4 linked regions of the Diceros bicornis minor genome follow. The protein of the gene in region 1 interacts with the protein of each later gene in a biochemical or structural test. Links are inferred from orthologs where the notes say so. Each region holds a gene or a part of one and is shown in the gene's direction. Other genes may lie near its edges. The genes, in order: NEDD4L, ubiquitin-conjugating enzyme E2 E1, SNCA and UBE2K.

Region 1 (7,083 bases):
TCACCCAAACCTTGGGTGACTTCATACTCTTGACACTGACTTCTCTGAATGGTCAAGTGAATCCCTAACACACTGCAAGTTGCTGTTCAGAAAACGGCCTTCTAAAGATAAGTAATAAATGACTCCAATGTTCTTACCTTATTTGTTGGACTATAAACAGCAGCAGGCTACTTGGCTACATCAGATTTCACCTGGGGTTCTAAACACTAATCTTGATTGGTTTACAGGCTTCTTTTCCTAGATTCCCCAAGGATTGAGGTCCATTATGGAGGGGACACTAAAATTTGGGCTGTCTGTTTTGCTATGTGTGGCCATATAGCGATTGTGTGGTCATCTATGCAATTATAAAATGTAAACTTAAGTATTCTTCCAAAGCCATTGATCAGAGTACTAAAATATTAGTCATGCAAAGCATATCTCACTCTCCCCACCTGGTACCACAAAATATTTTCTTTTTTTCTAATTTTTTTTGTTTATTTTTATTTCATTTATTTTTTTCCCCCAAAGCCTAAGTAGATAGCTGTATGTCATAGCTGTTGTATGTCATAGCTGCACATCCTTCTAGTTGCTGTATGTGGGACACGGCCTCAGCATGGCCAGAGAAGCGGTGCGTGGGTGCGTGCCCGGGATCCGAACCCGGGCCACCAGTAGCGGAGCACGCACACTTAACCGCTCAGCCATGGGGCCAGCCCAAAATATTTTCAAGTAAAGGTAAAACAGTTTCATTCCTCTGATCCTGATCTTCAACCTTTTACAGCAGGAAGTAGCTAGAGCGGTCTTCGCCCCCATTCCCCAAGATTGAGGAATGATCATAAGACAATGGGGATTGAAACCGAGCAAGAAGAGGTTAAAAAATCTTCCCTGGGCTAGAAGAAGAGGGCAAAAACTTGGAGATAAGCTTTGCTAACTGCAGCTGTGCATATTCAGCATAATCAACTGTTGTTTAAAACTAACTAGGTCTTTCTGTCCCTCCTTAGTATATGAGTGAGCTGTCTTTCCCAGGAAATCAAGGTCCAGACATCAAGATTTAGTCTCACAAGGCCAAACACAGGCTGAAGATGAAAACTAACCAGAAAAGTCCAGACAGTCAAGGGAAAGAAATTCAGTCTTCAAGGTCAAATGCAAGCTGATGAGAAGGTGCCAGCCAGCACGTCCTCATGCTCCCCCTCCCTTTCCTAAAACCCCAGCACATGCTCTCCCTCACAACCTTTAAAACCCCTTGCCTCCCATCATTCGGGGAGACGGGACAAGTTTGAGAGCTCTTGTCTTCTGGCTGACATCACCCAAAATAAAAACTTTCCTTGCCATAAGCCTGGTGTTCTAGTTTTATTTGGCCTCTCTTGTGTGGTTGGTAAAGGACCTGGGTATGTATCCAGTAACATTTTGTCAGATTGGAAAAAATAGGACTCACGTATCTATATCTCAGATAATTTATTAGATTTTAGAGTATAGAATGAACAGCACATAAGTCTTCAAAAGGTGTTTCTTAAAAAGCTTAGCTATTTTAATACAAAAAGATTAGTTCTCCTGATGCCCACGTGGCACCTCCCACCAATTAAATCAGAGTATATGGGGGTAGGATGTACAGAGCAGTAGTTTTAAAGATCCCCAGGTGTTTCGATGTGCAGCAAAATTTGGGAACCATTGGCCAAGGCCACTATTCTCAACTCTACATGCACATTAACATCACCTAGGAGGCTACTGAAATTACTGATGCCTGTGCTCCCACCCTGACCCAATGAAATATAGTCTCTATGCTGGCGCCTGGGCACGGGGTCATTTTAAAGTCCCCCAGATGATAACAATGTACATCCAGGGTAGAAAACCATTGCACTGGGGGAAAGCCAGTACATAATTACACAGGAGATTGATTTTGTTTTTTATGAGTTCTTTTATGGCTTAAGGCCATAAAATTGGTCCTGAGTTTCCTGGTGGCCAAAGCGAATAGAAAAACACAATCAGTTGACATAATTCTTGTCATCCACAATGCAAAATCTTACCAGTTCCTTGGAAGAAAGAAAGCTTTTCCTCATAGGTCTGAAATAAACGTCTTGTTTGAGTCTTTTTACAGGGGACATTGACAGATGTTACGGATCACGATTTTATAAACCCCTACAATAAATGACACATGGCAGGTTTCATACTATAGTTCCTAATAATCATCCCTCAGGGAAAGCCCAGAGTGCAGGCAGGTGCCCGCTGTTGCAGGGGGGAGGTGTGGGAGCAGGAACGACGGAGAGAGGACAGAGAGAGGAAGTAGGACACACCTTCGCAGTTCCCACATGATATGGCCTCAACCAAGATAAAGCCTGGAACTGTGCACTTCCAGGGAGTAGAAGGGGTGACCTTCGTAATTAGAAATAATTTTCTATTAGAAAAATTTAAAGATCTATTACATTTTTCCCCATACCATAAACTGTACAAAGTTTGACAAAGGCCTGGCTAGTGAGGGTAAAGAAAAGTGTATTAGAATTGTGTATGCCTGCGCGCGTGTTTGTGTGCGCGTGCGCAAACCTTTTGTTTCTCAAAAGACAAAGAATCTAGGTCTGAAAAGGTGGAAAAACTTTTCGCTTGGGAAGGATAAACAGAGACCTGTCTTTTTAAATCTCCATAAAGACGATTTTTTTTCTCAGTTGGGCTTTTGTGGCATCTAAGTACTGTCGATTTAATGGCTCACAATTTGTAGAGAGGAAGGCTTCTGAGTCGGGTGTTGACTCCATGGGGCCGAGTCTTGAAACTCATTAGGCGTATGGCACACTTTTTAAGCCACAGTAATGTTGTAGGGGAGTAAAGGAGAGTTTAGGATGGGTGTGCCCCTTTTCTTTTGCAAACAGTCTAGCTGGGCAAACAGCGGATAATTTAGTCAAGTAGCTGGGTTGGGCAGGAGGATTCTTTTGGATCATGTGAGTTCTTTCTTAATTTACCTGAATGAAAATCCTAAACGCACCCTGTCAATATGCAAGTAGGCACTTGGATGTTTTCTTTTCAAAGGCAAATTGCATGTTCTGCTTCTGTTTTCTTTTTGAACTCACAACTGTACTTAACATCTCAATTTAACGAAAGTCTTCCTGAAAAAGTCGAGTGACGAATTTCTTTCACTTATTTAGTTTCCATCATCCCTATAAATCTGAAAGATTAAATGAACTACTTGCTAGAGAAACAGTAGCTGGGATGTGGGAAGAATCCTTCGGCGGCTAATAAGACGTCTTAATGGTTTGCATATGCAGAGGATCACCTTAAACTTGAGTCTGATATTTCACGTTGCGGCTCACAAATGAGCTGCCTTTTATTTAAAGAACCATGCTGTCTGTTTTCGAGTGGGTGGGTGTGTACTCAGGGCGGGCGCTGTGTTGGTTTTGTTGCCTGTAAGGTTGACAGAGGCAGTGGCGACTCGCGGCCACACCGGGGCAGCCTCTCCCTGGCTGGCGGCCGGGCCAGGCGGATCAGCTCCGGTAAGCTGACAACGGCTAAGTCGGGTTTGGCTGAGGGTGCCAAGAATTTAAAGGGGTCTAGAAACATCCATCTTTCCCCCTTTAACACTTGCCGCGAGCTCAGGGCTCTTGGTAAAAAGACTGTGGGGAAGAGGAATGGACTGAGTGCTGTTTCTTTTTGTGCGTGTGGAAAATGCCTTCAGCGCCCCCAAATGCCCAGTGCGCCCCCTCCTCAACGCAGAGCGAAAGCGGGAGAGGAAGGTGGGTCAGCTCCCAAAGCCAAGTCCGCACGGGCGCTCCGCGGCGGGCCCGCCCCGAGGCGGGGGGAGCCTTGAAGAGCCGCTCCGGAGGCCGGGGGTGGGGGGTGGGGTGGGCGTGGGGACAGAGCTCCGGCGGCCCGCAGCCCGCGGCCCGCCCCCCAGCCCGGACTGTGATTGGCTTGGGGGGCGCGTGTGCCCGCCCCGGCGAGGCGGGGAGGGTCCCCTCTGGGCGCCGGGTGGGAGGAGGCGGAGGAGGGGGCGGAGAGAGCGGGGGCCTGGAGGGAGCGAGCGAGCGGGTGGCGAGCCGGGTTCCAGAGATCGGAGAGCAGGCTCGGAGAGGGGCGGAGAGCGGCGGGCGAGCGGGGAGGAAGGGAGGGAGGCGCGGGCCGCGAGGAGGGAAAGCCCGGCGGACTCTGCGCCGCCGCCGCGCGCAGGAAAGGCGCCGGGGCTGCCGCCCGCTGCACAGCGCGCTCTCGGGACCGCCCGCCGGCCCGGCCCCGCAGCCTTCCAGGAGCAAGCGGCGCAGGCAGCGGCCGGGGCGCGCGCGCTCGGGCTCCCTCACCTGCCGGCGCTCGGCGGCTCCCCCGGCGGGACGCGCGCAGGGCCGGCCGGACCTGGAGGAGGAGTGAAGACCCGGCCGCCCGCGCCGCAGCCCAGCCGCCCGCGAGCGCCTCCGATCCCGCGCGGGGTGCCGGATCCATGGCGACCGGGCTCGGGGAGCAGGTCTACGGACTTTCGGAAGACGAGGTGAGCGGCTCCCCTTTCCTATCCCGGACTCCCCGGGGAGTTTCTGCCCCACGCCGGCAGGGGGTGAGGACCCCTGGGTCGCGCGTCCCGGCGCCTGTAGGGAAACACCAAACGCGGGACCGCCCGGGAGCGGAGTCCCGGGGGAGGAGGTGCTCCGGCCCTTCCGCCGGGCGCCTGCGGCCGCCTCCCCCCGCAGCCAAGCTCATTGTTTGTAAATAAAGCGGCGCGATGCCTTTCCAGCAGGGGGGTTCACTCGGCCGCTCCCCGCCTTTGGGTGGGAGGAGGGCGCGTGCGCCCCTCTTCCCGCGTGTCCCCCTCCTCTCCAAGCCGCGTCTCCCGGGGCTCTTGGGCAACTTTCCGCCTCTCGCCCCTGCAGCCCGGGAGTCCATGATGTGTGCCACGTTTGGGTCTCGGCTGGAGACCCGCGCAGCGCGGGGGAGCCCGGGGCCGCGGAGGAACCTGCATTGTCTCCCCCTGGAACTTTCTAATGATTGTGTCAGCAAGTGCTCTGCTGGGTGTGTGCGCTTGCCACGTGGGAGTGGGTGAAACGCGTGGAGCTGTGTGTCTGCCCCTCTGTCTTGCAGTCTAAAGCCAGGAATGTGGATTTCGGGGTCTTTCTGGTGGGGGGAGGAGGTCTAGGATGGTGGCAGGTGCTACTGGCAAGTTGGAGGAAGCTTGCAGCCCTGCCAGTTTTTTCCTCGCAAGGATTCAAAGCCCAGCACCTCCGGGGTGGGTGGAGAGACGAAAGCTCAATTGATCCTTTTTGTTAATAAAGCAAATTAAGTAAGCCACGCCCCCAGGGCTGTCGGTTTGCCTGGAAAGGGCTTTGTTTTCATCCTCACTCTCCTCGCGGTTTCCCACTCCCCCCTTTTGAAACGATCCTGCTATTTCACTGCTTAGCCCTCTCTCGACCAGCCACGCTCGGCTCTTATTGGTGTGTTGCTCTGCTGAAGAGGGGAGTAGGGGGCCTGTCGCGGGCGCGGAGTGACAGGCAGGCTGGATGGAGCAGGTAGGAGGGGTTTGCCATCTGGCGGGGTGCGCGCTCAGGTCTGGCTCCCCTTTCGAGAGGTGAATTTACAACCTATGAAGCATTACTCAGCAGGGAGGTATTTCCTATCCTGGTTGTGCATTTCATGAAAAGTTGGTGCCTGGAAATTTAAGGATTTCTGGATTTCACTTTCTTCTTCCTCCTTCTTTCTTTTCTCGGGCCCCCTCTTTCTGTGGGGATGGGGGTGGGGTTAATGGAGAGGCTATTATCTGAGACGTGCCCACGTTATGGCTCCTCTGTCACCCGCTTGCCTGCTCCGGTATGGTGTGTATGTATGTGTATGTGTGCTATGTAAGTGTGTAATGGAGTAGGTGTCTTAGGGTGGGGAGGGTGTTTGGTGGATTGACTCTTTTTCTTAACGGTTCTAGGTAAAGCTTGCCGTGGTATTTATTTTATCAAAGAATGATCACAATGCAAATAATGTGTGATTTGCATTTTCGATTATTTTGCCATGCTTGTGTAAAATAATTTCCCTTTTATGTGCAGTTACCTGGGGATGTGTGAAAAGTAACATTGTTTCATTTACCCAGGGGGTTCTTCTCTCCCTGGCTTCTCTTTGAGGAGCTCTTTCATTCTCTACTTCTCCATTTAATTAGTAGAGGGCAGGGGTGAGCTTTTAGAAAGGTGCTGAGATGCAGACATAGCTAAACAAAGGACTTGAGGTATTGTGCGCCATGAAGTCAGCTGCATTTTATCTTAGGTCTTTTTTTTTATTACATGATTATTTTTAAAAGCTTTCTGAAAGAAATATATTTTACAGTGTTTTGGGAAATGTAACTGGGTAAATGAATCCCCTGTGTGTCTGTTGTTTGTTCTTTGTTTACATTTATGACTAGTGTAAGAATCTATCTAGAATGCAGCTTGCCACTTTGGATGAGTTAATACTGATCTTACCTGGTGTCTAGTGTAAAAGTGAAGGATGGAATATGAACAGAATCTGTGTGTGTGTGTGTGTGTTTGTGTTTGTATATGACTGGGTTCACCCCTACATATTGCTGGAGGGGTATTTGGGGCTGAATAGGGACTAGCAAGAGATGATGAAGACATTTTATTGATTGAGTGATTGCTATGTTGCTGGCACTCATTAGTTGCACACCCATTATATTACAAAAGACAAGTCACATCTCGCTTCCTTTTTTTCAGCTTCTCCTACCAGTGAAAAAAATAAGGCAGGGCTTTTTTGATGATTGCACATTTTTATGGTCTTTGCTTTTTATGGGAGGTTTCATGCTGTCAGGGTGCCCTTCGGAAAATCAGGGAATACCTTCGTAGAATATTAACAACAAATTGTTGAATTTGCACAGCTTGGTTTGTCTCCCTGAATTAGTCTCTGTAAGAAAACAAACAGAAGATTTTAACAGGCTTTTAAAGTAGAATGCCTGATGAGACAAACGGCGGGCTTGTTTTTCCAAGGCGCGTTAAATATAGGTGCACTTCAGTTCACGCTCTGTGGAACGTCACACGTAAAGGTATTTTGATCACCATATAGAAGAGTCACCTTATAAATGTCTAAGCAAAATAGGCATCCATAGCTAGCAAATTTCTTAAAAGTAAGTTTGTGTTTTCATCGGAGGTTGATGAAAAGCATTGTGTGTTT
Region 2 (7,824 bases), on another chromosome or scaffold:
ATATTTGTTGATTAATTGTTTTGGGGCTGAGACGTGAGTACTGTCGGGTGTAAAGAAAGAATTCGTCATATAGGCTTAGCAAGTCAAGATTAGTATCTTTGCTGCCACTTGCTTCTGGGGTTGCAATTATTGAGGTAAATTTTGGATTCAAAACTGGATCCTTGACTGTAGATTTGTCACACCATGGAACTGTGGGAAAGTTGATATTTAAAACAAAGTTTCACAATAAATTAAGTGCGTGAAATAAAAGTAATTTTTCCCTACTATTTCATTCCTCCAAATTTTAGTAAACAGAAAAAGTGTTAAGTTCAAGAAAAGGTTTCAGAGACTAACCAAACTGCTCAAACTGCAATCCAGTAGATTCCAATACAGTCTGTCCTTATGTTATCAATGTATAGGAGGCTGAAGAAGGCTGGTTTGTTTAGAGAATAGGCCCTACAGAGCAGATGCTAAATTATAAGGTGAGAAGAATGCTTTCATACTAAGCATTATCCGTTTGTCAACATCAAACAAACCTTTTTGCCCTTGCCTGAGAAAGCATTAGACTCTTATCAAGTCTTGGTAAATTTTGAAAATCACATGGTTGTTCAATGCCTCCATGTGGTAGAAAAAATAATTTAGCTCTGTCCTAGCTTCCTGTGATAGCAACTTTCAGGACAAATAAAGTCTGACAACGCTTAGGGTCCTTCAAAGAGATCAGTGTGTTAAAAAAAGGCCTATGGAATAATGACCCGAATTGAAGATAAAAGCCCCAGATCCCATTAGGCTTCATGGAATTGACCCTTCTTTGCGAACCTTCCTTATCCTTCCGTATAAGGAATGAATTTTTCAGGCAAAGGAGCATCAGAAAATAAAACAAGGGCCGGCCCCGTGGCTTAGCGGTTAAGTGCGAGCACTCCGCTGCTGGCGGCCCGGGTTCGGATCCCAGGCGCGCACCGACGCACCGCTTCTCTGGCCATGCTGAGGCCGCGTCCCACATACAGCAACTAGAAGGATGTGCAACTATGACATATAACTATCTACTGGGGCTTTGGGGAGAAAAAGGAGGAAGATTGGCAATAGATGTTAGCTCAGAGCCGGTCTTCCTCAGCAAAAAGAGGAGGATTGGCATGGATGTTAGCTCAGGGCTGATCTTCCTCACAAAAAAAAAAAAAGAAAATAAAACAAGTAGATTGAAATCCACAGTGAGTCCATCTTTTCAGAAAACCTTTACAGAAATTCTTCCTAAATTCCAAACATAAGATTTTTTTTCTTTTGACAGAAAAAGGAAATCCTTTCTATCCAGTCATAAGGTAAGTTTAAAAACCCATATTAACAAATGTTAATTTGCTTGACAATTCTTTGGATGTGAAATTGGCCCCAAAGAGGATTGTTGCTTTTATGAAATATTTAAGTTCAGTGTAAGCAAGTAGCCAAAAATAGGAGTGCTCAAAAGTTAGATGGGGTCTCTTTCTTCTGAATCAACTGTATCACTTCACCTAGGGATCAGTCAGCACCTTGATCTTCAAGTGCTCCTACTTAAATGCACTTGATACTCTCAAGATGGCTTGAAGAAGAGAGTTGGATCATTTTGAGATCAGGAATAGGTATTAGTAAAAACTGAAGCCCATTTTCTTAAAGCCCACAGATATCACAGTGTTGCACCACTTGGGCTTCTGTGACTGAATGCATCTTTTAAATGTAAATTGAGCATTTCTATCAAAGCATCCAGTGTATACGTATGCATTTGCTTTTGCAAGCATAGACTACCACAGAGTTGGGGGGAGGGGCAGAGGCAGATTTTCGTGGCTTACCCTTTGGTTTCTTTAGGATAATATAGCATGAGAATGTATTACCTACTTGAAATATATCCATAAATATGAAATAATGATTATTATTCTCAGAATGAGGTGTAAGGAACATCAATATTGTTCATTAATTGGTTCAAGTAAATGTTATAAAATCAGTGATTCCTTTAACTTGGTTCCATTTGTCCACTTTCCCAACTGTCTTGATTGTTAATATGTTCTTGAAAATATTACTGGAGTTCTTTTATATTTAATATATTTTTCTTTAATGTAATTGAGGCTCTTCCCCACCCCCTAAATATTGCCAGAACTGACAAAATCATCTGTGGGCAGCATGGGCCATAGCCACAATTTTGCCACCGACTTACTGCATGACCTTGGATGAGACGTACTGGCTTTCTTTGCCTTAATTTCTTCATCTGGAACATAAGGAGTTTGAACTCCAAGATATCTTAGGCCCCTTTGAGTAAATAAAATCCTGTGATTCCTTGACTTTATCTTTCTCCTAGGAGGTTTCTTACACTTGTCATCAATTCTAAGTCATAAAGACCCTGTGTCCTGACAAAATTCCTGAGCAGTAGGATCAGGGTGGGATTATTAATAATTTACTTTGCATAACAGTTAATTAATCATTTTACTATAGATACACATTTGATCCTTCTAACAACTCTGCCAGTCAGTACGGTGCAGGTATTTTTGCCCCTTATAGATGAGGAGACTGAGGGTCAGAGAGGTCACTTTAGGTCCTTAGGCCTTGTAGTTAATAAGTAAGAAGACCTGGAAGGCTGCAAATGAATTTTGATTTTTTTGTGACTGAGACAACTGTATATTTAAAGTAATCTGACATAAAGATTAGTCTTTTGAGAGCAATGGATTCTTTTCTAAACATTTTGAGGTTTTTATTCCCCCTCAGTAGGTCATTCCTAAACCATAAAGCACTAACCAGGGTTAGAGATAAGGACTAGCACACAAGAGGGCCAGTAGCCTTCCAGACTGGTGGCTGGGAAAGCAGTTCCCTATAGAAGAGGACTCCTTCGGTTATACGATTTATTTCCCCAGGGACCAGTCCAACCCAAGCATCAACAATGAAACACAAAATAACCATGTTCAGTTTTTAAAAAAAATATTATTAGAGTTAGTATCCAAGTATACAATTTATGCAAACCAAAATTAGTGAAAAATTCACCCACTGTCCTGGTCACAACAGCAAGTCAACTCTTTTGTTTTCCTGTATTCTCTGCCAGCTCTCATCTTTATACATATATGATTTTTTACTGGTTGTACTCATAGTGTTGACGTGTATTTTAAAGTATCAGAAACCCAAATATTCATAAGAGGAAGTTTCCATTTTAATAACTGTCTTTATTTTATTCATCTCAACTGAGTTTATTTCATGTTTGTTCATTGCTTTCTCTTGAATTTGTATCTTTTTCATCCGAAGTACAAAGAGTATACAACCTGGTTTTAAGGAGATTTTTGTTGTTGTTTTCAAATAACACACATCAGGGAGTGTCATTATTTATATATGCTCTACCAGGATCCCCGAAACCAAACACTTATGTCTGGGGATCTTTTCACAATTTCTGTGCATTTGAGTGACTGAGTGATAGCTCTGACTGGAGGTAAGAGGCAGGAGGCTGAAATGATGATCTATAAGGTTTTTTTCCAGCTTTGGACTCCTTGATTCTATGACAATTCCTGGTAGATACAGGTTTCCCAGTAAGAACTGAGCAGGAATTGTGCACAATTACTTTATGAATCTTGATACAGTTGGAGTTTCATGTTGAAGGCTAGAAGGGTTTAGGTGGGTGGTAAGAATGTTTGTTTTCCTGGTTAGTGGATATGCCATGGGCTTTATATCTTGTGTCCTCCTGTGGTAACTGAAGCCACTGTTTCCATGGAAAAGGATGGCAATTTGAGATAATTTAGAGTGGCCCATGGAAATCTGACTGGGCGGTCTCCTTAATGTACCAGACCTTGTATGTGTGGCATTACACACACCTCTTTAGTTTCCTTCAACCGAAATACAAATAAGTGAGAAGCTAAGTCATAATTTCATGGGTTAATCTTAAAAAAATTAATCTTGGTAAAAATGCTCAATAAGGAACAATTCAGAGGAATTACTGAGTGATTAACCTAAAAATATTGATTATTTGAATAGCATTGATATTGTAGTTGAGGAAGGTACAGAAGTCCCCAAAACTTTTAATCTAATTTCCAAAAACCAAACTTTCTAAAGTAAGCTGACACCAAAAATTCTAAATCATAATTCAGTAGTATAAGGTTTATTCCCAGTGATTTCTCACATTTGTAAGCCTGTTACACGTTGGTTTTACCTGTCACGAAATCTTTTGTATCCCTTTTATAAAATACCACCACTTTCTATAAAAAGTGACTGGAAGAATCTAAAATTGTAAAATTGCACGTGCCTGAGCAGAAAAGTCCTAGTTTGGGATTTTCTAACAGGCGTGCCTAAACCGACCTCTGCTCCTAGCAGGTAAATCGCCAGAGGGAGAAGCCAGTGTCAACCCAAAGGAAAATCCTGTTGTGGGATTTTTTTCCCCTTAAACTGATCACTTATTAGGAGGAGGTCCCGCCGCATTCTCTAGTCCAAAGTCCTTGCCACCAGATTACCATCTTTTCCCCCAATTTACCAATCCCCCCCCCGTTTCCAAAAGCCCTTATTGGAAAGAACTTCCTCTCGTGACCCCCCTATTCCATACAGTTCCAATCTCTCCCAGCGCCCCCCATCTTGGAACGGCTTCCCCTCTCCAGCCCAGGATCCAGGTCCCCGAACCACTTGAGAGGAAATTCACACCCCTCGCCCCCTTCCCTGGCGTCCCGAGGAGGCGCTGGGGTGGGGGTGTGGGTGGGGAGGGGGCAGGGTTTCCCGGGGTCCCCTGTGCCCTCCTCGCGTCCCCCCGGAGGTGTGTAGGGGGAGGGGAGCGCGGGTGGGTGGGACCGGGCGGGTGGGGGAGGGGTGAGGGCGAGGAGGAGGAGGAGGAGGAGTGGTGTGTGTGAGAGCGTGTGTGGCTGGGGGAAGCCATTGCCTGTTTAATAGTTGCTGTTGCTGCACTTCCGCTTCTCTCCCAGCGAGAGAGAGACACGAGTGGCCAGGCCCAGCCGCAGCCGCAGCAGCAGCCGCCGCGGCGGCACGGAGGAGCCAGACACAAAGAGAGGTACGGGGATCCCCCCCGCCGCCCGCCGCCCCCCGGCCGCGTCGCCGGGCCTCGGGGACACCCTTCGCCGCCTCCCCCGACCCGCGCCACCCGGGCCGCCGGGCACGGGGCTGGGGGGGGCGGAGAGGGGCCGGGGAGCCCCAGGGGTCCGGGGCCCGCCCGCGGGGGATGGGCAGGGACCCCGGGCCGCGTGGGGTGCGGGGGCCGCCCGTGTCGGGAGCGGGGGGGGCACTGTACCTCGAACTGTCAGCGCTGCCCCGGGAGCCCCTCACTGGCCGCCCAGGGGGCCGGGAGCGGGGGAGGGGGAGTCGGGGGAGCCCCGTTTCCCCTGGGGCGGGGGCCCGCGGGGATTAACTCCTCCGGGGCGGGCGGGCTCATTGTTATTCGTTCGCGCAGGAGGCCGAGGCCCCCCTCGCACCCCCCCACCAGGGTGGCAGTCGGGCGTGTGCCCGGGACCCCCGCCCCGGCCGCGCAGCCCCAGCCGGGTCGCCGAGGGGCAGGCCGGCGGGGAGGGGCGTCGGGGCGCGGCGCGGGGGGCCCTCGGCCTTGTCGCCCCTGCCCCCCCGCCGGCCTCTCCCTTCCCCCACCCGGGCACCCGCTCCTCGCCTCCGTCCCCCCGTTTCGGCTTCCTCTCTTACTCCTCTCTGCCCTCCTCGCTTCCCGACCTCGCCAAACTCCGCTCCTGGCCGCGGCCCCCGCGACCCCCGGAAAGCCGACAGAAACGGCCCCGAGGCCGGCCGCTGGCCGGGACCTTCCCTCCCTGCCCCGCCGAGGTGCCCGCGCCCCCGCCCTGCCCTCCTCCCCCGCCCGCTCGGCTTGTCCCCTCCCTGCCCCGAGGGGAGCCCCGGGGGGCGAGGGAGGGGCCGCTCGCTGTGCTCCTGACCGTTTTCCCACCGCGTCCCCCACTTGGGGCCAAAAATAAACAAGCCGCGTCCGACTTGCAAAAGCCTTAATGGGCCTGAAGACTTTGAAAAGCTAGTGGAGGGCGGTGGGCGGCCGGGTGCACCCCTGGTCAGAGCCCTCCTGACAGCGCCCGAGTTCCGTATTTACACTGGCTGCATGGTTGATGTGTTTCTGTTTTGTTTCTCTCCCCCTGCAGGGGCTGTTTGCGGGGTGGGGTGGGGGGTTCGCTATGTCGGATGACGATTCGAGGGCCAGCACCAGCTCCTCCTCATCTTCGTCCTCCAACCAGCAAACCGAGAAAGAAACAAACACCCCCAAGAAGAAGGAGAGTAAAGTCAGCATGAGCAAAAACTCCAAACTCCTCTCCACCAGCGCCAAGAGGTACCGTACTCTCTCTCCCTTTTTTTTTTTTTATTTTTTCCCCCCACAGGCTTCCTATTTTCCGAACTGCTTCTTGGTGCATTTGGTCGGCCTCCCAATGAGGGTAGCTTAAGTGCTCCTCAAGGTTTATGTGTTCTTAAAAATGAAAAAAGGGGCTTGGAAGCCCTAACTGTTTTTCTCTATTGCTTTTTCTGTTTTTTTCTTTTAATCATTGCCCACATGCTGTCGTTGTGGCTTGCCTCTTCCCATTTCTTGCTGAAGTTTGTAAAAATCCTCATTACTTTTATCAGTGACCCCCAAATCTGATTTCAAATTACTTGTCCTATTAATCACTAATCTGTGACCCTCCCCAAGGCTGTCATCCCACTTAATTACTAATGCCTGCCCAGACAACTCGATCAAAATGAATTCTGTTACCATCTGACTTCCTCCTCACCTGTTGCACATACATCTTTTTTGAACAGAGCTTTCTCCACAAATTGCATAAGGAATAACTCATACTAGGGAGGTAAAAAATTTAATAGGTGGAGACAGATGTTTTTGGATGGCCTTTAAAGAGATTTTTCTGATTTGGAGAGTTGAGGCAAATGAATCAATAAATGATGTAAAATGGTTAATCTAGGTTGTTTTGGAGATTCTTTTTTGTTTTCTTCAAGAACTTCAATTTACCAAATTTCAGGGACACTCACTTTTTCATGCTATTTCCTCTTCTCTTATGCTATACTAGTGTTATTTTTTTCAAGTTGAATTTAAGCAGTGGCTCTTTTTCTTTATTCTTCTCCTCATATGTCTCTGGAAGAAGCTACTTTTTATCTCCATCATCCTTCAGTAATATCCTCTGATCCCCATGACCCTTAAAATAATCTATAGCAGATTCCTGGGTCGTCCCCCCCCCCCATACCCTTTCATAAATCCTCCTGCTCTAAGGTGGACAGTCATTAAACTTTGAAGTGGCAAACCAGAAAAACAGTAAGGAATCCAAATGGTGGGTTAGAGAGGCATATCTTTCTTAAAAAAGTGTAAAATAAAATGGAATATGAGGATTTAGAGCTCTTCCACTGAGTAGTGAGCCTGGAATTAGGAGTTTGAAAGTTTTTTCTGTCATTCTTGCTGACTTGAAATTTGAAAAGTTGGTAAAGTGCTTTGGTGACCTAACTGTGGGCGGATGAAGGAGTGACTTTAGCTTATTTTAAATAGTGTAGAGGTCTAGAGTTAAGTGGCAAGATGCCTGTACAAGATTGTTCTCATTTTCAGAGGGTTGGTTTGATTGCATCTCAGCTTCCCAGGAGTCCTAACGGCCCTCACTGGTTATCCCTGTGCTGGTTCTCCCAGAATCTGGCATCTCTCTGCCCACTTTGGATGGAGCCTCCCTTAATCTGTCTCGTCTGGGCTCCCTCATCCATGCTGGGTCAGCTTTTGGCCCTACCTGACTAAGGCAGGATTTTGCTTTGGGTCATTTGTATTTTTATATTTTGCTGGAGATCCCTGGTGTACGTAAATATATTTAGGGGTGAAGACACAGGCGTCAAATATAAAATAGTCTGCTTTATGTCAGCAAATTACAGAGGGGGACT
Region 3 (8,005 bases), on another chromosome or scaffold:
TCTGGTAAACTTGGAACACCATTTGTTGTATCATTTAATTTTTCTCCCTTGGCAAATCAACATAACTCATACATAGCTCCACTACCGCCACTTTGAAGAAACCACGTCCAAAGAATGTAAAACTGTCAGTAAAGATAGTGAAATGTTAATTCTATCACTATTACTATATTTCTTCACCTGCCGAAGCAAATTGCTGTGAGTGATGTTGTTATTGCAATCCACACATTAAGGAGAGAAAAGAGACATTGGCAGATTTTTAAATTAACGACCCCTATCAACACTCCCTAACTACCCCCATCCTGTGTCCCCACAACTTCCATCCCTGGTTGGAAATTTTTTACTTACCATAGTAAGCTAAAGTTATTGATGGGGAGGCATCGGACACTAGAGGTGTGTTAACAGTGGGACGGGAGGTTGTTGAGGGCTGGGAATAATGTTGAAAACTACTGTAAGGAAAAAAGTGTTTCCTAGGGCACCCTAAAACATGGGGGCTAGATATTAATAATGGGTACTTGTATTGAGAGATTCCACTGTGCTCGGTTCTTTACTAAGAACCATATTATTTATTCCTTACAACAACCACACAAGACAAATAAAATATCACCCCCATTTTATAGATGAGAAGACTAGAGATTAGAGAGGTTGGATGCTTTCTCTCAGTAACTGCTACCAAGTAGTAGAGCCTTGTTAAGTCCCTGCATTTAACTTCTACCCAGTACCCCAACTCTCAGAAGTCTCCCACGCTCACCAGGGTTTAGTGCATTTTTTGAGCTCGTAAATATGTTTTTCCTTCTAATACTAAAGTCATTTGAATGGTTTAGATCCTAAAACATTTAAATATCTTTCGTATCTGGTTTTAAAGTCTTTCACCTTGGAATCTTGCATATCTTCATATTCTTAGTACCACAAAAACCACAGGGATATTTAAAATGATATCCAATTGAATTTCACATATTTCACATTACATACTTCTTGTGGTCACAATATATAGTCATTCTACATTGTTGAGACTATACTACAGTATTAGTAAATATGATAAATTACCTTGTGCTGGAATAAATGTCTATTATTTTTTCTGCCTATAGTATTGTAGAAACAATATGAAGTGCCCATAGGGTCAAATTAGAGAATATTCTTTGAAAACAATACTCCCTCTTCATTGCTCTTCATTTCTCTTTGGGGTAACCCTATTGCCCTGTTTCAAGCTTAACTGCTTTCCAAAATCATACACAATGCTATCCCAACTGTGCATTAAGCTTTCCCTTCTGTGTCCATTACGAAATTACAAGAGAAGCCTACGAAGATCTCTCTACCGCATGTTTCTCATACATTTGCAGAAGATGAGAGGAAGGTTCAGAAAGAGAACAAGAAACAGGTGGCCCAAGAATCAACATTGCCCCTTGTGTTCACAACGAATACGGAATATTATCCAAAGATAGTAAAGATTGTATTTTCCTCACTTAAACACATTAAATCAGTTCTTCCCCTCTCTTAAATCACTTGGTCATGGACAGCTTCATTATTTTTCACACCATTCCGTTCTGCAGCAGAAGCTTACCGCATGGCACGCGTCAAAAATCAATTATTTTACGGAGAAGAAAGACAAAGAGAGTCTAAGTTAATCACGCATTTCATAGAATATTAATCATGCATTTCATAGAATGTTAATCTATAGCTAAATTACTATTTTAAACCCAGATAAAACAATAGTATTGAAGAGCAGCAAAATATGTATATTTCATTTATCAAAATGAAAACCAAACATGTATATAGCAATTATTAACAAAATGTGAACATCAGTAATACTTCCCAGTAAGTTATTCTTCCATCCTCCTCGTGAGGTACAGGCCATTCAATGAGATTAAACTTCAAAGTCATATTCAGAGGATTAAAACTGTACTCAAGGCCATGCTGTCAATCAATGATGACAAGAAAAAAAATATTTATTAACTTCCAATTCCCTTCTTTGTTCTTGAGTAGTTCTGTCTCCTTAAGAATACAGAGCTAAGAAACTGCAGGTAGAACATAAGAAATGTCGCTATTAATACTATCAGTAATTAAAAGTTTATTGAATGCTTGTTGTGTGCAAGGCACTTTGAGGTGTGAAAAGAAGAGTAAAACAGAATTATAATTCAAAATGACAAAAGTTGTTTCACAGTTCTTTCTTTCTTTTTTTTTGGATGGTGAGAAATCATCTTCCCCTACTGAGAATTACCGATATAGAAAAGGCAAAATTTCAAATATGAATGTACTGTTTTATAATAACATAAATTCTTCATTTTCATTGTCACATCCAAATTCGAAAACTATTTCTAATAGAACTGGGTCCCACTTTTTCCCTCTCATCCTATACTACACCCAATCAGTAAGGTTCCAGAGAGTAACCGCCAATTCAGAAGACAATTGTGCCTTTTGGAACAGTTCCTGCTAGATTATCTCAGCTCTGCCACTCAAGAGCTGTTATCAAAATTCTTTGAGCCTCAGATTCCCTGTCTATAAAAGATACCTAATAAAACTTATCTTACCCACTTGTTGTGATTAAATGGTATAGTACATTAGTCCTTTACCAAGCGTAAAGCTGTGGAATTGTGCAATGCTATAAGAAGCACAAAAAGTAACAACTGCTTCAAAATAAGTCTCTCTTTGGTCTGCAGTGGGGCTTAAAATATCTGTCCTTTTATTTGCCCCTTTGATTTAAAGCACTAGGTCTCAAGAAGGTCTCTGTTAAACTATAAATATGTTACATGAAATAATTAAATAATTGTCATAATAATCTATCAAGGTACATATTTGTGACGGGTCACAGAGGAAAACATTTGTTATTAGTAGCAATAAAAAGAAACAAACTACTGATACATGCAGCAACATGAATGAACTTCACAAATATTATGCTGAATGAAAGATGCCAGACAGATACGAGAAAAGTTCATACTGTATGATTCCATTTTTATGAAATTCTAGAATATGCACAACTACGACAGCACAAGGGAACTTTCAGGGATGATGAAAACGTTCTAGATCTTCAGAATGGTGTGGGTTACACTGTTGCACGGATTTTTCAAAACTCGTTTAAAAGAACACTTATGATCTAAGTATTTTACTATACATAAATTATATTTCAATTTTTAAAAGGACCATCTAAAAGTTATTGTCATTATTTTAAAATAGTTCTTATGTTTTACGGATGCATGCCTAAATATTTGCAGATGAAAAGATATATGTAGTTCTTGAGATTTAGTGAAAAAGAATGGAGAGAGGGCAGTGATAAGAAATGGGGAATGGGTGGGCATATAGATAAGACATGATCAGCCATACATTAAAAAATCATGGATGTTAAGTGACATTCACATGAGAGTCCTTTACTCTCTACTTTTGGATATGTTTGAACATTTTCCATAATAAAAAGTTGAACAGAGAGGGGTCATCTTGGTTCCTCTCCTTTTACAAAGAAAGCGGAACAGGAGGACATAACTTGTTCAAGGTCTCAAAGCCAGACAGCAAACCAGTTCCCAGTTTAACCTTCTTCCTCTGATCCCAAGGAAACAAAATACAGTCTGAGCATTTTGGAAAGGCTACTTGTAAAAAGGGCAGACAATAGTGCAAGGAGTTGTTAAGCAATATAGACAGTTGCTTTCTGCCCCTTTTGGTTTCAAACGGTTTTGTAGATTTAAATTGCATTTTACTCAAATTTCAGAACCCAAGTGAGTGCAAGGATCAGGGACAGCATTTTTTTTTCCTAAGAAAAATAAACGCAAAACAAATGAAAACATACAGCAAAGACTTGTTTTTCCCTTCCAGGGCTAAAATCATCCTCCCAATCCAGGCAAAGAAAGCAAAGGCATTCTGTTAGAGGGAGGAGCTTGGTTCTCCATTCTGGTGTGATCCAGGAACAGCTGTTTTCCCTCCAGCTCTGAAAGAGATGAAAATATGTTAAGCAATGCAAAAATTTTCTTGAAGCCCGCGCGCGCGTTTGCCCGTATGTCTGTGTGTGGGATGGGGTTAGGTGTCAGCTCCGAGGGCAACGTGAATCAGAAGTCAGAAAGGTGAGCGGTGTGTAGAATCTCCCTTTCAAAAGGGATGGAAGAAAGAATTGGATATGACGGTTCGGGAAAATAAACCACGCTGGATTTGTCTCCTCCATCCAGGCACTTGAATCTGAAAAGTAAATTCCGTTTCGAGAAGGAAAAGCTGTATATAGCTGCTTGGTTTCGACGGCTGGGGAATATTTATTCCTCGTTCCGCTGATGGGAAAAATCGGCGTCTGGCAGCCGCTGATTGGTGGAAAAGAAAATGGTGATAGTGGGGTGGGAAGAGGATTTGACGAGCCTCCTCCTGCCTTCTCAACCTGTAACTCATCCTTGCTACTCTCCTCCCCACCCGCGGGACCCCGTCGGGATCATGAGAGGTTAAGAGCAAACGAAAATCTGGCAGATATTTAAACAAAAGCACCTTTAACGTTGTCTCCTACGACCATTAATCAAATTTCAGCGATCCGAGGGAAACGTGCTCTTGGCGATGCCGATGTGAGCATCCTTCCTGAGCTGCCTGCCTTCTTCAGCAGCTCCCCGAGAGATTGGCTCTATCTTTGGCGGTCCATCCCTCAGGCCCCCACTCCCCCAGGTTGGCTCTGACGTGGGGGTCCTCGTGAGGAACCAGAGGGAAAGGCGGAGACAGGGAAGGACGGGGGATGGGAAAGAGAGAGCCATCAGCCCAAGCCTAACCGCTCCCGATCCCCGCAAGAGTCCCCGTGACCCTGAACTTGCAGTGAAGCGCAAGACACCCCATTTCCCGCCTCCCAGGCCCAGGCGGGCGGCTGGAGTTGGAGGTACAGCCTTCTCCCCGCCCCCCTCCCCATCCGAGAAGAGGAGTGAAGTGCACGCGGCAGGGAAAGCAGCGAGCGCCGGGCGAGGGGCGGGGAGAGGCGCTGACAAATCAGCTGCGGGGGCGGCGAGCGGAGGAGCGGGAGGAGGAGGAAGGGGAGGAGGAGGACCACGACGACGGGAAGGGGACCCGAGAGGGGGCGAGCGACCGAGCGCGGCGACGCGGGGTGAGGTGTGTGCTGGTTTTAGAGCAGACCCGGGGACCGAGCCTTGCCCTTAGCATCCTTCGCGCTCTCTCCCCGCCTTCCCCTCCGACCCTCTGTCTCTTTCTCTCGGATCCTCCCGTGCGGGGGACGAGGAGTGGCAATTCGACGACAGTTCGCGGGTTCGCCTCCCACGCCCCCAGCCTCTCTTTGCCGGGTTGTGCTGACAGCAGCCTCCTCTGGGGACAATCCCTCTCCTGGTACCGCCTCCGCCCTTCCCGTCCGCTCCTTATCCTCCCTCTTCCCATTTAAATAATATTTGGAAATTGTTTAAATTTGTTTTTAAAGAGGGGGTGGGGTGGGGAATCGGAGTTCTGAGGAGCGGAGCGACTCAGGTAAGTACCTGTGGATCTAAACTGGCAGCTTTGGAAATCCTGGAGAAAACCTGGTGGGAGAGGAGTCATTGTGGACGCCTGGGGGCGGGGGTGGGGTGGGGGGGAGGGGGCTGCAGTGAGGACCCGCTGTGTCAAGTCTCGGAGGTGGGTTCTTATCCCTTTGGTGAGCTTGAGGAAAGTAAGTTGCCCTGGCTTTCCTCCTGTTCCGGTATTTCACTCTTCTCGTCCTCAGAGGCTGAGAGGTCAGGCTTCTCCCGGATACGCTTTTCCTTTGGGAAACGCGAGGATGCTAGGTGGAACGAGAGCGTCCAACTTTTATTTCTCTCTTACTTGAAATCCCAGTCCGCCCTCTCGGTTCTCTTTGTAAAGTAAACAAGCTGTGTTTAGCAGATAATTAAATGGAAGTGCAGAGAGGGCAAGTCAACAGGTGGTAAGGGGTTAACAGGTGCAGGTTCGGGTGGGTAGCGGGTTCACGTGCGCTGAGAACGCCCCCTCGGGCGGCTGGCGCGCGTCTGGAGACGGCCGGCGGGTGTGAACTAGCGCCTGCTCAGAGCAGATAGCTGCGGGCGGGGATGGATGGTCGGGTGGATTAGAGCGAGGGCGGGTGGGCTGCAGTTGGCCTGAAGTGCAGCCACACCCAGAGTGAGTAGTTCTCTTCCCTCCCTTCTCCATGATCAACCTGTTAGCCCTTTTCTGGGATTCGTTTTAAGAGTGCCCCTGACCCCATGCCTCCAGCTCCCTTTCTTTTCCTGTGATGTGTCTTTTAAACGTACTTCTAACTTGTAATGTCACCATTTGGACCCTGGCAAGTTGAAAGAGGGGGTCCATCTTTTCATGCAACTCACTCAGGAAATGCAAAATTAGAACAGCTCCGGTGATTCATTCTAATCCGTGTTTAGGGGACTAGACTTTTACCAGCCAAGATGGATGGGGGATGCTAAATTTTTAATGCAAAAGCTAAAAAAGGCTTCTTTGTCCAATGGCTGAAGTAAGGGTGCACTTAAAAGAGTCTCGAACTTTTGTTCTACTGATCTTTCCGTGGGTTTCACCTTGGGTACTTCTAATTTCGTTTTGTTTTACGCAAGAATTCTCGTTCAAAGTGTATTTTGTATTCTCCAGTGTGGTGTGGTGTAAAGGAATTCATTAGCCATGGATGTAATCAAGAAGGGACTTTCAAAGGCCAAGGAAGGAGTTGTGGCTGCTGCTGAAAAAACCAAACAGGGTGTGGCAGAGGCAGCAGGAAAGACCAAAGAGGGAGTTCTCTATGTAGGTAGGTAAGCCCCAAATGTCATTTTCATGTTTATTTATGGCTGATGGGTTAGGATGATTGATACTCTAAATGCTGGTATTTCTCCCTTGATTCACTTTTGTATTATCACTTGTCAAAAAGATGGACTGAGTCAGAGGTATGTGTGGGTAGGTGAATGTGTATATTTGAGCTAATAGTAAAAAGTGGGGCTAATCTTTTGTTTTTCCAGATTAATTTTGCAGTAATACTTAGGACTTTGTTTTTTTAATAAATGTTTCTGTGCTAAGTGACTATATTTCAAAGGACACTTTTTAGAACTCAATCTTTTAAAAATAATCAAGACTATTCTTAATCAAAATCGTGCATGAGCCTTTGTTTTTTTTGTCCTCATGAATAATATTTGATAATTTTAGTGTATTCTTATTTTAAACTTTGGTATGGCCCTGGGATATGTAAAAAGAGACCTACTGTGACCCTATAAAGGAAAGAACAGAAGAGTCTTTGGTGGAGTTACTTCTTATGACCACTTGGTACGCTGGGGTCTAAGAGCTCAAGAAAGTGCTTGAAGGCTGCTACTAATATCTCGGAGACATTTATATAGCTCCTTTATTAAATGACACACACAATAAATAATGAGATTGATGCTTGTCCTTTCTACTTGTTCCTAAATTCCCACGTGGGGGTATTCATGCAGACCCTGACTATCTTTTCTTTATCTTGAACTGTGTTAGGTTAGGTTGGATGTTATTTTACAAACCACTTCAAATTCTTTAGCGAAGAAATAGACAAACAGATATACACACGCTCTCCACAAGGATACACTCACACACACTCACCCACTGCCTATTCTGCCTCTCCTATTTCTTCCTGCTCCTCTGAGCTCTGCCAGGGTCTCTGGTGGCAGCTGTAGCAGCAGCAGCCACCGGATGAGCAGGAAGGTGCAGGAGGGGCACGTTGCGTGCCATAGGGTGCTATGCCCACGTCTGTGGGGTGAAAGGAAGCTACACTCTCTCTCCACCGTAGATGGGCAGGAGAAAGGGTATACTTGGAATGATTTTTATGAATGCTTCTTTTATTGTTTTTTTCTCACTGTTCATAGACTCTTTTTAGGTTGACTTGATCTTACAAATCTTCAGTTAGATTACTCTTTCTCTATCTTGAAACATTTTTTCAGAAAATCATCAAAGTGTTTTACAAGAGGAAGAAAATTGATGAGTTAATTTCAAGTGTTTTTGTGAAGTGTGAATGATAACTTTTTAGATGGAATTTGAACTACTGAATCAGTGACATGCAGATCATCTGTATCTTTATATTTGTCCTGTTTTCCATGTTGTGCAA
Region 4 (7,203 bases), on another chromosome or scaffold:
GCAGGAGCTACAAAAAGGAAGACTCGCACATTTCGAACGTTGGCAGTTATTATCAGGGGTCAGCAAAGCCCTATTACGCCTTGTTGCATTTTTTTGAATGTGAATCAACACATCAAAACACATTGTTCTGTTAGGGGCAGCAGAAGAGTTACCAGATTAACTTTCCTTCATCATCTAAAACCAATTTTACAACTTCACATACATAATGTTTATGTAAATTATGTATTCTGAAAGGGTGTGACTTTTTAGATTTAACTCTCGTGTCTAAGCAGTACTGTATACTCAAATATACTCAGGACTCCTTTATACTCTTCAAAAATATTGAGGATTCCAAAGAGCATTTGTTCATGTGGGTTAAACAACATTGTGTTAGAAATTAAAACTGAGAAATTATTGAAATATTAATAAATAACTATAATAAACTCAGTACAGGCTTATGTAAGTAATATATCTTTAGTGAAAATAACTGTATTTTCCAAAACAAAATCTCTTTAATACCTAGCTTAACAGAACAAAGCTGGATTTTCACATATGCTTTTGCATTCAATATGTTGCATATGTTGTTTTTATTGAAGTATATGAAGAAAAGCCAGCCTCCAATATAGTTGGAAAGGGAAGGAATATTTTAATAACTTTTTCAGATAATTGTGGATATTCTTCTTTAATATTACATTAAATCAAGACAAATGGTCGTTTTGTAAAGATTAGTTGCAATGTAGAATCTGAAATGTTATCAGTGAACTTTTGGTATTCTGTTACATTAAAATCCATTGGCCCGTCTTGAACCTCCAGCGGATGTTTTACCCATGCGTGATTTTGTAACATCATGCACTGGTCACTTGGAAAATATTGGTTCAATGGTTTATGCAGATCTTCCAAATTTTGACACATTTCATTGTACAATTTCAAGCAATCACATTTGTTATTATCACCACCAATTTAATCAGAAATGTCTTTAAGTGTATTGAGAAGTTGCCAAGTTACAGTGGTAGATATGTTTTCGAAAACTAATTTTCAGTTGAAAGGTTGAATTTTATCATTGGCAACAAATTCTGCCAGTTGTTTTCCTTGAAGTGACAGGCTCACATGTTCATTTTTGATAAAACGTCTGTAAAATACCCAACTCTTAATAAAGATAGTTTGTCTCAATCGTTATTTTAAGTAAAAATGGTGTTCCATGAAAAAAGTGGCTAGTTCAGCTCACAACTCAACCAACTGCACAAGTGCTTTACCATGTACTTTGGTATGCAGTGGAAGGCCTTATGTATCCTTCCCAAGTATCACATAGACCATTAAGAAGACGTACTTGAAAGTTGAGGTTTAATAAAATTAATAATTTCTACTGCTTCATCAAAGACATTTTGAAGTGGAACTGGCATTTTTTAATAGTGAGTGTGTGGCATTAGTAAAATTATTGGTAGTACAGTAATTGTTTTTGCTCAGTATGCTTTTACATCATTCGTACAAGTGTCAACACAGTAAAAAGGCAAATAATGTCTTAGTTTTATAATGATAATAGTTTGGGCAATGCAGACTGACCCCTGAAAACATCTTACGGACACCCAGGTGTCTGCAGACTATATTTGAGATGAATTCTTCTCATCCCTGCCAGAATGTAAATCTTACAACTTGAGAGGTTTTTTTTGTCTCTTGTTCACTGATATGCCTCCAGGGTCTAGATCATGCCTGGCACATAGTAGGCACTCAATACATATTTAATTAATTAAGTAATCAATCAGAACTAGATCATAATAATGAAGAGCTTATAATCTGCATTACTGGAAACCCATTTTAAAAAATTTAGTTTTGAATAGGTAAAATATACAACAGGATACATGGTGAAAAGTCTCCCACTTTGCCTTCCCCTAGGCACTTAAGTTGCTTTCTCAGAGACAACCACTGTTGTCAGTTTCTTAACTATTTTTCCAGTGATATTTTATGGATTCACAAGCATTATATACACAAGAATATTCCTTTCTTCCCTCACGCATACGGTGGCATATTATACACATTATGGACTGCATAGTGCTTTTTTAAAAGTAAACTTTTTCTTTTGGAATAGTTGTAGATTTACAGAAAAGTTTCAGAGATTCTTGTATACTGTTTACTCACTTCTACTAATATCAACATCTTACATAACCATAGTACCATGTCAAAATTAAGAAATTAACATTGGTTCAATACTATTAACTAAATTACAAAATTTATTCGGATTTCATTAGTTTATGTCCTTTCAGTTCTAGGGTCCAATCCAGGATACCACATTGGGTATTTAGCAAAGTGCTTTTTTCCCTTAAAATGTATTTTCAGGATTGTCTCATATCAGTTAATATGCAGTTGCCTCATCCTCTGGAAGGACTGCAGAATGACTCCCTAGAAGCAGAATTTCAGGGCCAATGATTATGTGCATTTAAAAATTACCAAACCCCTCTTCCCCAAAGAAATTACCATACCCTTCTTAGCAGTCCCCCCTGTGATTTGAGTGTTGCAAGCTTCTTTGAAGTTCCAAGATTAAGACTGGGAACTGAATGAAGGTTATAAATGTAACGTACTCAAAAAGTTTCTTTGCACACTTCAGAATAATTATTTTTAATGTACTGGCACAAATACAGATATGTATCATTGCATGATTTACATTATACCAATAACTCGTACCATGACCCACATATATAGTTGGTTCCTGTTGGGACCACTAGGGGGCTCTGCTGGAAGGGTTTTTATAATTTATGTTAGTCCACTCAGCGAAATGTTTCGAGATAATGCTTTAGAATTCTGAACTCTTAAAACTCGAAAGACATCATCTATTTAACCCAGCTTCCTTATTTTGCAGATGAGGAAACCAAGGTTGGCCAAGAAAGCTGGCATGGTGGAGAGCTGGAATCAAAAATCCACTCTTGGTCCCCGTGGCAGGAGTTCAAGAAACTCTTTGCCATGTGCCTCCACTGATGATTCACACCAGGGGCTATTTCCTTTTTTGCTGCCACAATTTTAGAAATTTTTGCTACGACTATATATTTGTGATATTTTTCTAATATGATACTTTACTGATGGGTTAGGTGAAAGAAGTGCATGAAATATAAACTTTATTACTTATTCCAAAATGTTCTATTCGAAGTACCTCTCAGCACCAAAACCATATTATTTACTGTAAACCCTAGAAACTACTTTTCAATTGCCTTTCAAACTTACTTTCCTCTTAAAACATTTTACTTTTATCTTTACTCATTTATTCATTCAATATTTATTGAGTGCCTACTAGCGCTAGACACCGTTGTAGTCCCTAGGCTTCGGAAGCAAAGCTACCCTTCTCCCCAAAGAAACAACTATTTCTCCATTTTTCACTTTAATACATAAACTACCTTCACATGCCTTAGTTCAGTGGTTCTCAGAAGCAGCCAGCATCTGGGAACTTGTTAGAAATGTAAATTAGGCCCACCCCACACTTTATGGATAGGGTCCAGCAATCTGTTTTTTTAACAAGCTCTCCAGGGATTCTGATGTACACTCAAGTTTAAGAACCATGGTTTTAGTTCCACGGCTTGGTATTAGTTATCTAAGTAGGTCAAAGATCAACATCTGGCTTCTAAACCCACTTCAGGCATCTTCATGGAGTACTCGTCTCAAATACACCCGATAGGACCCAACAATGACCATATTTAATTCAGTGATTTGCAGTACCTTAAATGACCATAATAATAGTGACACTACAATGGTTTCAGAGCAAACACTGACCGCAGCGGATTTTCTGGGCCTATACCAACAGAAAGTGGGCCGGACTGAGTTCTGGGATAGTGTGTTCGTACATTAGACACAGCCGGCCACATCAAACCTCGAAGTTTTGGGTCTGGGAGTCAGGACGGCGCTGCAAGACAAGTGGGGCCGCGTGAACCCGTCAGGTTGGACCCGAGCCTTCGGTCAGAGGCTAGGGGCTGGAAGCCCGGACAACAACGCACCGGTCTGAAGATGGGCGGAGGCGCGGGAGAGGCCGCGGGAGGCCCCGGCAGAGCCGGTCAGCACGCAAGCCGCACCCTCCTGGCCCCAGACGCCAGCAGGGCGGAGCCACGCGGCCGCAGCTCGGGCAGTGGCGCGCGGCGCGGCGCGGCGCGGGCTCGCGGCCGAGGCGTATGGGGCTACAACGGGAGCGGCTGCGTCGCCCGGCCGGGTCAGCGTCTTGCGCATGCGCGGACCCGGCGCCATTTTGGTGGCCGGGCGCGGAGGTGATTCTACATTGAGGAGAGCGCGGCGGCCAGGGTGGCAGTGGCAGCGTTCGTGTGCTCGGGTGTGAATCGCCGAGGGAGGAGGCAGTGGAGGAAGCGGTGGCGGCGGTGGCGGTGGTCGTAGCGGTGGCGGAGGAGGCGGGTACGAATCAGCTGCGGGCGGAGACATGGCCAACATCGCGGTGCAGCGAATCAAGCGGGAGTTCAAGGAGGTGCTGAAGAGCGAGGAGGTCAGAAATGAACTCCCGGACATCCCCCACCTCAGCCCTGGGCGGGAGGGCCCTTCCGGCGGCGACCCCAGTATTCCCGGTAACCCCCGGGTCGCCCTCCTTGTGGCCGCCCTTCTGCCTGTGGGGAAGCGGCAGTCTCCCCCTCCTTCCGCCGCTTTCCCCTCTCCTCCTAGGGCCCTGGGATGGACGGTCTCGCGGGCGGGTGGTCTGGAGAGGAACCCGGTTTGGGGGGGCGGATGGAGAAGGGCACTTTTCTACGGGATGTGAGCTCTAGAGAGAGCCCCGAGGCTGTGGCAACAGCTGGGAGTGTGGCTGTAGGGTGGGGAGGGAGCAGGCCGAGCCTGAGAAAACCCGGGAAGTGGGTTGGGGGAAGGGGAAAGGTGGTAACTGGATCCGGAGAGCCGCGCTGCTGAAAGGCCCACACTTTTAAGGGTATTCTGGGATATAGCCTGTCTGGCCTCCACTGTCCTGTCCTTAGGTATTGATGAAAGGAGGAGGACATTCAGAGTTACTCCCTCTTAGTTGGATGTTGGGAGAGAAGAGGAGACATGATGGGATACTATCTTATTTGAGTGGGGAATAAGGGAATTTTCACCTGAGATAGGAAATTAATTCCAAATTAGAGCATTATTTTATTTGCACTTTCCCCCAATTCCTAGGCCTCTTTTCTGTTGACGTCTAAAGCTTTTTGACTGGGTAAAGGCCAGTTGTTTGGTGTATTAAAAACGTTTAAATATTTTTAGCTAGGAAAAAATAACAGTATATGAGTAGCTTATTTCAAAATATTGTTTACAAGTTACCGATCAGAGTCTCTCCTAAGACAATGCCTCTGTGACTCTGTTGTGTCGTGCCATGAAACTTCATTATGATGTCCCTCATAGTTAACTTGATTCTTACTTTTGAAAAACAGCCATATTAAAAACATGGGATTTCACCAGATTAATACATTGTTATATCTTTTTATTAAGTGAGTAGATTTATCCCAAGATACCGTATCTGAAATGATTAAAAAAAAATTTTTTTGTCTCAAGCTGCTCTTGAGTCCTGCAGAATTTAAATACTCTAGCGTTGACCACATTTATTTATATAAGATATTCAAAATGTTCTAGTAATTTGATTCAAAATTGTGCAAGCATCAATACAGTTTTTCATACCCAAATCAACAATAATGTCAGGTTGTTTTTCCTCCTTGGATTTAACAAAGATTAAGAAGTAATACTGAAATGGTTATTTTTTTCAAGATGTCACATACCATTATTGAATGTATCATTGCTACTTGTATTTTTCTCTTATGTTGGTACTTTGATAATCTCAATGATTTGTGAAATTCAGCATTCTAAGTATGTGATGAGTAATTGACATAAGTTTGATAGCACTTGAGCTTTATTTGTGCTGCTGAATCTACAGTGATTATGTATCTTTCCAATTAGACAAAGAATAATTCTTTAAAATTATTGAAAAATGACAAATACTGACAGATTTATTGAATGTAGTAGTATATAAGTAATGGTCCGTTTTACAGAGCATGTGTATGAACTCTGACCTCTGTATTTGTCCAAGTGCCAAAACTCTGAATGGAAGGATGACTTTGTATTTTTGTGGTACAGTGCAAAAACAGAGTCATAAATGTCTGTGCTGATAATCAGTGAAACAATAATTCTAACTTATTTAATAAGAAAATATATTCCAGGATAGTAGACATATATATTCTTGATGACAGTTGTAGCTAATATTGTTACCAACAGCCTAAAACATTTCTTATAACGTTGTACAAGCCTGAAACTTAAAATAAGACTTCTAATGCTTTATTTTCTGTTACTTGAAAGTGGTCAAGTTACTGCTCTCATAATTCGTCTCTGCTATATATGAGGTGACTTTTCACCATCATATTCTTGGTACTTAACTTGAAGCTTAAAAGAAATCTTGTATTGCTCTAGTAATGCATATTGTTAAAATAATACTGCTCTTAATATGTTAGGGATGATGAAGCCTTGCTTCAAGTAAATGTCATAGTGTTTTTTAGAGGTAGAAACAGGAAATGCAAACAGACAAATTATTTTTTAAGAACAATATCTTTATAAATCTGGAAGGAAACTCTTCCAGAAAGTAAATTGCAAAGAACATTTAGGAGAGGGTTAGATAATTTAATCTTGGAATGTAACCGATAAATAGCTCTATTTTCATCAATATTTTATTTCATCGTTGTTTTAGTAGGCCCAGTTCTATAAATGGTTTATGTTGGTTATTTTCAACTCATTGAAGGACTTGTAGTACAGTCCATGTGTTTCCTTTTTAAGAATGTAAATGCAGTATTTTGAATGGCTGGTCAAGTAATCAAGTATTTCATCATGTCACCTATGTAAATCTCCAGTTTACCAAAGTTTATTTTATATGTTTGTGTTTACTAAGAAGAAGGGTTGATTTATGGACTTTTTTTTACCTTTTAAGTCTTTTGAAAAGATAGCTGATATTTGCTGAATTCTGGCCATAAGAAGTTGTAAGTGGCCATTCTTGGAGTGTGGAGTTAATTAAAATATAGCTTCAAGATAAATCGAATGTGAAAAGCAAGATGCAGAATAGTGTGGAGGAGGCTGTCATTTGTGTCAGAAGGGGGGAAATCTGTGTATTTGTATAGGTGAAAAGATTAGTGAGAAATTGGTAAAATTGATTGCTTTTGGTAGGAGGATTTGGTGTCTAGGGCAACAGGCATCAGCAGATCCCTTTTGAATTTTGAGTCACGTGAATTTGTTATTTAC

Evidence for each region.
Region 2: the proteins of NEDD4L (region 1) and ubiquitin-conjugating enzyme E2 E1 form a complex in vitro, tested with the Homo sapiens proteins (2 studies listed by BioGRID). The link is inferred for Diceros bicornis minor from reciprocal best matches to the Homo sapiens genes NEDD4L and UBE2E1.
Region 3: of the proteins of NEDD4L (region 1) and SNCA, one has a biochemical effect on the other in vitro, tested with the Homo sapiens proteins (3 studies listed by BioGRID). The link is inferred for Diceros bicornis minor from reciprocal best matches to the Homo sapiens genes NEDD4L and SNCA.
Region 4: the proteins of NEDD4L (region 1) and UBE2K form a complex in vitro, tested with the Homo sapiens proteins (2 studies listed by BioGRID). The link is inferred for Diceros bicornis minor from reciprocal best matches to the Homo sapiens genes NEDD4L and UBE2K.

The regions. Positions count from the first base shown.
Region 1 is NC_080755.1:49,427,550-49,434,632, forward strand, and holds the start of NEDD4L (E3 ubiquitin-protein ligase NEDD4-like), read left to right. Parts: upstream 1-4,064; 5' UTR 4,065-4,390; coding exon 4,391-4,438; intron 4,439-7,083. UniProt on the Homo sapiens protein: E3 ubiquitin-protein ligase that mediates the polyubiquitination of lysine and cysteine residues on target proteins and is thereby implicated in the regulation of various signaling pathways including autophagy, innate immunity or DNA repair.
Region 2 is NC_080741.1:28,971,221-28,979,044, forward strand, and holds the start of ubiquitin-conjugating enzyme E2 E1, read left to right. Parts: upstream 1-4,815; 5' UTR 4,816-4,966; intron 4,967-6,065; 5' UTR 6,066-6,098; coding exon 6,099-6,250; intron 6,251-7,824. UniProt on the Homo sapiens protein: Accepts ubiquitin from the E1 complex and catalyzes its covalent attachment to other proteins. Catalyzes the covalent attachment of ISG15 to other proteins. Mediates the selective degradation of short-lived and abnormal proteins.
Region 3 is NC_080747.1:73,699,774-73,707,778, reverse strand, and holds the start of SNCA (alpha-synuclein), read left to right. Parts: upstream 1-4,993; 5' UTR 4,994-5,052; intron 5,053-6,537; 5' UTR 6,538-6,567; coding exon 6,568-6,688; intron 6,689-8,005. UniProt on the Homo sapiens protein: Neuronal protein that plays several roles in synaptic activity such as regulation of synaptic vesicle trafficking and subsequent neurotransmitter release.
Region 4 is NC_080747.1:32,620,442-32,627,644, forward strand, and holds the start of UBE2K (ubiquitin-conjugating enzyme E2 K), read left to right. Parts: upstream 1-4,201; 5' UTR 4,202-4,384; coding exon 4,385-4,447; intron 4,448-7,203. UniProt on the Homo sapiens protein: Accepts ubiquitin from the E1 complex and catalyzes its covalent attachment to other proteins. In vitro, in the presence or in the absence of BRCA1-BARD1 E3 ubiquitin-protein ligase complex, catalyzes the synthesis of 'Lys-48'-linked polyubiquitin chains.